Mus musculus: one gene and its partner. The main gene of each other region encodes a partner of the protein of the gene in region 2 in a complex. Links are inferred from orthologs where the notes say so. Each region holds a gene or a part of one and is shown on either strand. Other genes may lie near its edges.

What was found. The genes of interacting proteins can lie anywhere in the genome.
Region 1: Gtf2f2 (region 2) and Polr2c share a complex: the UniProt entries of both Homo sapiens proteins name them as parts of the TBP-based Pol II pre-initiation complex. The link is inferred for Mus musculus from reciprocal best matches to the Homo sapiens genes GTF2F2 and POLR2C.

What each region holds. Positions count from the first base shown.
Region 1 is NC_000074.6:94,860,355-94,864,796, reverse strand, and holds the end of Polr2c (DNA-directed RNA polymerase II subunit RPB3), read right to left. Parts: intron 4,354-4,442; coding exon 4,301-4,353; intron 3,087-4,300; coding exon 2,958-3,086; intron 2,616-2,957; coding exon 2,564-2,615; intron 2,277-2,563; coding exon 2,108-2,276; intron 1,988-2,107; coding exon 1,913-1,987; intron 1,346-1,912; coding exon 1,201-1,345; 3' UTR 555-1,200; downstream 1-554. UniProt on the Homo sapiens protein: Core component of RNA polymerase II (Pol II), a DNA-dependent RNA polymerase which synthesizes mRNA precursors and many functional non-coding RNAs using the four ribonucleoside triphosphates as substrates.
Region 2 is NC_000080.6:75,993,767-75,997,415, forward strand, and holds part of Gtf2f2 (general transcription factor IIF subunit 2), read right to left. Parts: intron 3,162-3,649; coding exon 3,143-3,161; intron 1,800-3,142; coding exon 1,655-1,799; intron 1-1,654. UniProt on the Homo sapiens protein: TFIIF is a general transcription initiation factor that binds to RNA polymerase II and helps to recruit it to the initiation complex in collaboration with TFIIB.

The DNA of each region.
Region 1 (4,442 bases), on a different chromosome or scaffold from region 2:
TTTGAGTATGAGGGTGGCAGTGCCTGTCCTCAGTGATACAACTCTCCTGCTGCCAAGATGGCCTGAGCTGCCAGGGTCAGAGGAGGGGGACAATCAGACTGGTGCTGTCTGCTGGCTCTTCCTCAGAAGCCCAAGGGCCAGGACAGCAGGTAGCTCTGTCCTCTGGGCCTACAGTGACACAGGAAGAGTCCTAAACTTCACTGTACCGTGTGGCAGCCTTGCACTTGGGAGTGTTTAGCAGAGGCGGCATCTGGTTTTTAAATGCACTTTCTGCACTGGCCCCTTCCTGCTCAGTAGGCTGAAGATGTCTTTGGGCAGGGCTCCCGTTACCTCGGCAGCAGAGGACAGTTGGGGCCAGCCCGGAGGGAGGACTGCAGCAGGACTGCTGTGGGGAGCACCTTGCTGCTCTCCTTCACTGACCAGGGGTATAAAGCTCCAGCAGGGGGAGTCCCTTGCCCAGGCCAGCCACCCCAGGCCAGATTCCAAAACTAAGACTTTCCTATCTCCCCACACGGTGCTGAGGCTCCCTGCTGAAATGCAATTAAAGCAATTGATTTTCTAGTGCTGGTATTTATTGACTACCGTGCAGAAGGGCTATCTTTCTATTCACATCAAACCTTTTGTTGCGTGTTTCTGTTTTTTAATACTTTAGGGTTCTGATTTGTGGGAACAGACCTTGTAAATAACCACTGTTCACATGTGTGGCAGAATGATAAGGGGCCCCTCCCAGGGGGTGCCCTAGAGCCAGGGAGGTGGCACAGCCAGCCCAACTCTGTGACCCAGGAAATGACCACCCAGAGGTCAGCTAGTTTGTACAAGAAATGGGCCCAACCCTTTGGGAGGGAGGCAAAACTGGCTCAGTTAGTGGCACGATGACGCATGAAGGAGATTATGTTGTGCTCTTTATTGCCAAAAATAAAAACTTTTAAAAAGACAACTACTGTTGATCAATAAATATTCCTTCTTTTCCGTGCTGGTGTGTGTTTCCCCCCATGCTGCCTGAAAACCACTACAGTAGGGCCCGGGATGCTCAACGCTTAATAAAACCCGCCATGTCTAACACCAGTGGGACCCTGGCCATCTCCCCGATGGCCTTCCAGGGGGCAGACTGTGCAGTGCATAGCCCAGAAACTACAAGGGCTCCCGAGGCCTGAAGTCCAGCCACCGTGAACCTAGTCTTCGGAGGCAGGCGAGCCGTGGCTAGTTTATGGTGAGCACGTCACTCTGGATCTCATGGCTTAACTGAGTCTGTAAATCACTCAGCTTCTTCTTTAGCCCCGACAGGGCTGAGAGGACAATGGTTTCAGGGCGCAGTGAGCCACACGACTCCACATTGTAGTAAAACCTGAGAGACGAGAGTGGGGTGAGAGCTCTCGTGAGGCAAAGCTCCGGCTTCGGGCAGACTTCCCTTCTGTCCTCTGAGACTTGATTCCATTCCTATGAGGCCCTGAGCTCAGGACAGGGTCTTCCCTTTTCCTGAGACTCCTTATGCGCAATGGTCCAGATCCACTTCACAGCTCCCCGAGGAAGCTCCAGCTACTTCTAAAGAGCACTGCTGTACAAACCCTAAGATGACTCTATGTGCATTTCTACACCAGAGACAGCAGGAAAAACCAAACACGATGCTGGCTACAGCCCTTCAGCACTTCAGGGGAGGGCTATGGTCAGTCTTGCTCTGGCCTGAGCCCAAACAGGAAGGCCAGAAACAGCAGGGGTTAATAAGGCCCCTTTCCTCACAGTGACCGGAGAGGAAGGAAGACCAACTCAAGATGTGTATGTGAGTTTGGCAGTTAGCTCTTCTATCACAGGGTGGGGGATGGGGTGGGGTGTGGTGAGCTTGGGTGTGTGACTGCCTAACAGCCTCCCACACCTCTATTTACAATTACAGTCGCAAGCAGGCCTGGGGTCTTACCTCTCTGGCTTGCCGTTGGGGTCGTAGGGAGCCTGCGACTCATCCTCATCCAGCTCGGAATACTCACTCTTGGGCCTGAGGGCAAGCACAGGTGAGGCACAGGGGCTACTTCTGCTTGTAGCAAGGCTCTCAGAGCACTACCCACCTATCGCTCACTACAGCCACTGCTGCTTCCCCTTCCCCCCAGGAACATACCATTCCTCAGGCTTGGGATACACTGTATGCCTAAGTGCGTTGTCTGGATCGTATTCAAAAGCTACCCCCGCAGTAGGGTTCCACTTGGCATGTTCCTTGCCAAAGCCCTTCTTGGCATAGGCTCGAAGTCTCAGCTCCTGCCCCTTCCTCAGCTTGACAATAAGGATGTCTGCAGGGAGAGGTGAGAGTGAGCCAGAACAAAAAGAGGCAAGTTCTCCAACTTGTGACCTGTAGTACTGCATGAAGACAATCCACATCTTGGCAAAGGGTCCAAAGATGAATGAAAGATACCAGGCAACTCAAAGGGGCACATCTGACCTCTGCATCTTCTGGCCACCCGCTTGACTGCCCCACCTCTTATCATGCTACCCCACCCCCTCACCACCCTTGCCCAACCCCCTCACCACCCTGCCCCACCCCCTCACCCCCATTCACCCCCCCGCCCCACCCCCTTACCATCCTGCTCCACATAGTCATTAGGGTCGTTATCCCGGTTCCGAGATGTCACCTGTAGGAAGCCCAAACAAGTATGCATTAGCCTCTCACCTCTCAGTCACCTCTGGCAACTGTCTCTCAGCAAATGCAGCCTATAATCCGTCAATCCGGGGAAAGGAGGCTGAGAAGAAGAAGGAGATGGCAGAGCTGTCCAAAGAACCCAGAGGCCTTTAATGGGGTCTTTGAACAACATAGGGCACATGGCACTAATACTGCTCTGTTCAGGAACTCAGGACCAGCACGTCTAGGTGGCAGTTAACGTAGATGGTCACAGGGTAGGTTAGCATCTGCCTCATAAAGACCCACTCCAATCTGTCCCACTTGGAGGCAGGCAGAGAAGGGCAAAGACACTAACCGGAATAACCCGGGGGCTGTTGGAGATGAGATCTCGGGAGGTGACATGGCGCGTCTGGTCTTCATTGCACCTCACATCGAGAGTGAACTCCACAGAACACTCAGGGCAGAACTCTTCACATGTGCAGTCCTGAGGCAGGAGGACAGCTAGGATGAGGAGACTGGACTCTCTGCTTCTCCTATCCAGCTCTTTCCAGATTCTTCTTGGTGAAAAGGGGTGACCACGGTCCCAGCCCTTCTGGGCTGTGACATCTGGTTCACCTCAGGATAACTAACTACACTTCCTTTCCATGTTCACTGCTACAGCTGACCACTAGGGGGCCCACTCCTAATATAGCAGTGCCTAGAGAGGTCATCTCAAGGGACCAAGGTTGTATGGGACTATATAGTCCTGTTTATGCAGACCAGCTTGGCAATTAACTGAAAATACAAAGAAGGGAAAAACAGGAAAACAAACAAACAAACAAACCACCCCAAAAAACCGAAACACCTTTCAAGTTTTAGATTATTTGGGGAGGGATTACCTAGCCATAGAGGATTACAGCACAGACATGCGCTCAAGTATGTAGAAGGGAAGGGTAGAGCACGTGCAACTTATTATCTAAAAGGTTAGAGGAAAATCAGGCAAATGTAGTAAAGCATTAACATCTACTAACTACAGAGGAAAAAATAAACGGTGTTTTATTAACATTTCTCAGACAGGCATGGGAACACATGCCTTTAATAACCACAGCATGCAGGAGGCAGAGCAGGCAGATTTCACTTCAAGGCCAGCCAGAACAACATAGTGAGACTCTCTTAAAAACGAAAACAAAACCGAAAAGAATAAATGGAGGCTGGAGAGATGGCTCAGCTGTTAGAAGTACCTCCTGCTCAGTTCCCAGAACCTGAATCCAGTAGCTCACAACTGCCTGTAACTAGTTCCGGGGGCTCTGATGCCCTCTTTTCACCTTAGCCCACCTGCTCAGACACAGAGGCAGACCTGTACGTACGTAAAAGTGGGTATGTTTCCCGGACTCTTTTTGTTGTTTTGAGACAGGGTTTCTCTGTACAGCCCTGGCTGTCCTGGAACTCACACAGAGCCGCCTGCCTCTGCTTTCCAAGCTCTGGGATCAAAGGCGTGCGCCACCACACCCACCCGTGTGTTCCCTTTTGAGGCTCACTGATGACGCCTGGATGTGCTGAGAGCAATCCGATGCTCCATCAGAACCAAGGACCACACTATTAAGACATCATCTCCACCATCAGCCACAACAACTGGAAGGGAGACACCCCGGAAGACTCCAGGGAGAACAATCCCCCGGCCCCTCCCCGTGGCCCCAGTCTTCCCACCAGCACACATACCCGGGAGTACTGCAGCTTGTCCACAATGTCATCACTAGTGAGGGGGATTAAACCTGCAAGACACAGAAGAGTGCTTTGCAGAACAGCCAACAGCCAAACCATCACAAGAGCCTCAAGGAGGTCACGCAGGCTGGGGACAGGG
Region 2 (3,649 bases):
AAGACTGACTTCAGACTGCTTGTACGCCATGCGCTGTGTCCTGAACAATTAACATAATATAAACAGCTATTGACCCTGCAGAGTCCCTTCCAAGACAAATGTGTATTTTCTACACCCTGTAGGCATAATGTTATAGTACACTGTGTAAAGATTATCCTTGTATTATTGAAATGCTGATTTCTCTGCCCCCACATTGGATTGCAATCCAGACACAGCATTGTAATGCTTATTCTAAGAATCTCCCCTCTCAAGGTTTGTATACACTTTTCTCCCCATTTATTCTAAAACTGATCAGCCAATGACTGCAAAGGGAGAATAGGCGGAACTTCTGATCCCAGCCTGGGGAGGGGTAGCAAGAGAGGAAGAGATTCACCACATGAAGAGGGCCCAGGAGACACCATGAGAACACGCTCACAGCAGAGAGAGCAGATCACACTAAGATGCAAGTATCTTGGGGATTTTGGTTAGGAGGTAGCCAGATTAGCTCAGAGGATTAGAATTGATAACTTCTCGGATATTGTGCCGTACAGCTTGCTAATAAATCTTATAGTTTCTGTCTCATTTATTTGGGAGCTAGCTACGATAAAGAAAAAACAATCACTTTTAAAATTTCTCTAACACACAACAAATTAACATAGCATCAAAGTAATAAAAGCAAAATTAATCCTTTAGCTCCGGCTTCATGTCCCCAAAGTTATACTCATCATTGTTTTATACTCATCAAGGAGAAAAAAAAGAAAAGAAGACTACATCAGTTTATGCAGCTACTGGAAATCCAACAGTGTACACAGGTTCTGGAAAGTGAATAGATCAGTTCACACGGTTACTAAAACCCAAGCTATGACAAAAGTGCTATGTGAGGTTTTTTTTTTTTTTAAACAGCAACATTCTCTTAGTATACATAGCTTACAGCTTGCTTTAAAATGTTTACGATCCAACAATATTAATGTTTTTCTTTTACATAACCAATAACCTTTCGGATAGGAGAAAATTAATTCTACTGAATAGAGGTGGGTGCTGCTTTAATAGCAATGTTCTAAATTCAGTACAAGATAAAAGTAAAAAACTAAGGAAAACAAGGCAGCAGAAGTTTCCTCCTTATTTAAGTAGCAACTGAACGGATTGCGACTGGCTTACTGAACTGTTACAAGGCCACACTGCTATCACACACAGTTTAAAACCATCACTCATTCATAGAATTTTCTAGAAGCTAATGCCAACAAAAGCTAATCTTTATAAAATATAAAGGCTTTCAAAACACAAAGCACACAAGCACAGGAAGGCAAACTAACTGATTCCCTAATACTAAGCGCTATTTAAAGCATAACTTACATTTGCTCTATATTAGTTCAGCAAAGCCAGTTAGGGCTGCCTTAGCTTGGCAGGACTCAGATTCTTAGAGAGCAGCTCTTCCATCTGTTCTGCTCTCTACGTTTATACCCAGGGGAATTAGCTCTTCTCAGGGGATGGTCAACGTTTCATCACAAAAACAAAACAAAACAAAAAAACCTTACGAGAGCAGAAAAGTGGCATGACACACAGGTAGACAAAACAGTAGGTGGTGTTTCCAACAAAGCAAATAGGTGTGCAGGCCGGTACAGAAAGTCTATACAATACACACGGGCACCATAGTGGATAATTCTGTCCCCCTTACCTGAGGAGCTCTCCGTAAACACTGTTAATGTCTGTCCGCCAACACTTTGCAAGACAAATGGGTGTTCTCTAGGAGCACTGACTGAAGCTGGTTTCCCACCGATGTCATGAATATTTGCAAGATCCTCGTTCAAAGTAAATGATACCTAAAGGCCAAATTAACCAAAGCTTACTAAAACAGACATTTATATTCAAAATATCTATACAAACATTTTGATTGTGAATTATTTTTTAAAACCTTTTTAAAGATGTGAGTCTCTTAATTATTTATTTCTTAAATGTCACCATGAAATCCTTAATCTCAGTCATAAACAGAAGGTTTATCCCCACGTGTCATAATGATGAAGCTTGTCTACCAATGTCTTCTCTAGTCTGTGGCTCAAGAAGTCTTTCTAGAACAAGACTGAAGTTACTTTTTTAGTGACACATCCCTAAGACCTAACATGTGCTTGGCACATAGAAGAAAAGCTGAGTAAGTATTTTTATACTGAAAAATCAACTGCACTTGAAAAATAAAAGGAGCAAGCTAGTTACTCTAAAAACCTTAAACAGTCAATGCATAGAATAAACTCCATTTTTACATTAACAGCTATTGTATGAATATATGATATCTATTTTTAAATACTTTAAAATATGCCGTTTAAAAAATAATTTCAATAATATTGTAAAGTATAGAAAGTATTCTTTCTAAATGATCTATTCCATATGCCATTACTCCCCTAAAGAATAACTATTATATTAAAAATATGTATAAAAATCTATAATTTTTTATTACATATTTTCCTCAATTACATTTCCAATGCTATCCCAAAAGTCCCCCATACCCTCCCCCCACTTCCCTACCCACTCATTCCCACTTTTTTTTGGCCTTGGCGTTCCCCTGTACTGGGGCATATACAGTTTGTGTGTCCAATGGGCCTCTCTTTCCAGTGATGGCCGACTAGGCCATCTTTTGAAAATCAATAATTTTTTAACTAGACAGGAAGATCATGAATTGACTATACAGCTACTATTATGATAGGTACCATATACATAGTATGAATTAGACTCAATGGTTCAAAATCTAACATGCTCAAAATTCCACACCAAATGTCTCTGTCCCACAGAAGTAATGCTAAAGTATTCTGTTTCACAGTGCTGAAAGGGAAACAGGTTCAAAATGAACTTCGAGGCCCTTTCATTCCTTCAAGGAGTACTTAACACCTGTATGTATTCATGACCATCAGGATATTTTCATTTCAACTGGAACTTTCCAGAATGCAAACAACTACAAATAACTAAATATTCTCACTGTGGTTTGGCTGTTGCTGCTGATCTTTAAGAAACAGGATCTGAGGTGGCCCAGGCTGGCCTGGAACATGCAATGCAGCAAAGGATGCTCTTGAACTCTTGATCCACCCACCCCTTCATCCCAAGTGCTGGCATTACAGGAATGTAGCACCATGCACAGCTCATGATTTCAGTAAATTTTTCATATAAATAATCTTACCTCAGTCCTTCCTTGATTTCTAAAAGGGAAAAAAAATATTTGAAATTACTTAGATTGCATGTTACTTTCAAATAGAAATAAAAGTCTAAAGACATGTCCATTCTTGTTCCATTAAACTTATTTCAACTAATGTTTATCTTTTACTCATATCGGTAATCCTATTAAGAGTAACCTCATGTGTTTAGTTTATGAACTTGTACCATACACTATTAAAACCTCTCCTAGACTGGAGGCTCCAGGGAGTTTAGGGGTCTAGTGGGGTAGGGACATCCTTGTGCAGACAGGGGGGCAGGGAGGAGGTATGGAATGGGGAACAGTCAGAGGGAGGACTGGGAGGGGAATAAAATCTAGAGTGTTAAAAAAGATCCTCTCCTAATTATATTAACTAAATAATTATCTTATAATTCTTACTATCTCTAAGAATTTTTAGTCTTCAGTAGTGAATAAATGCATATCTTACTACTTCCTTTCTGAAAAGATTTCATTTACCTAGCAAAATCTTGTTTT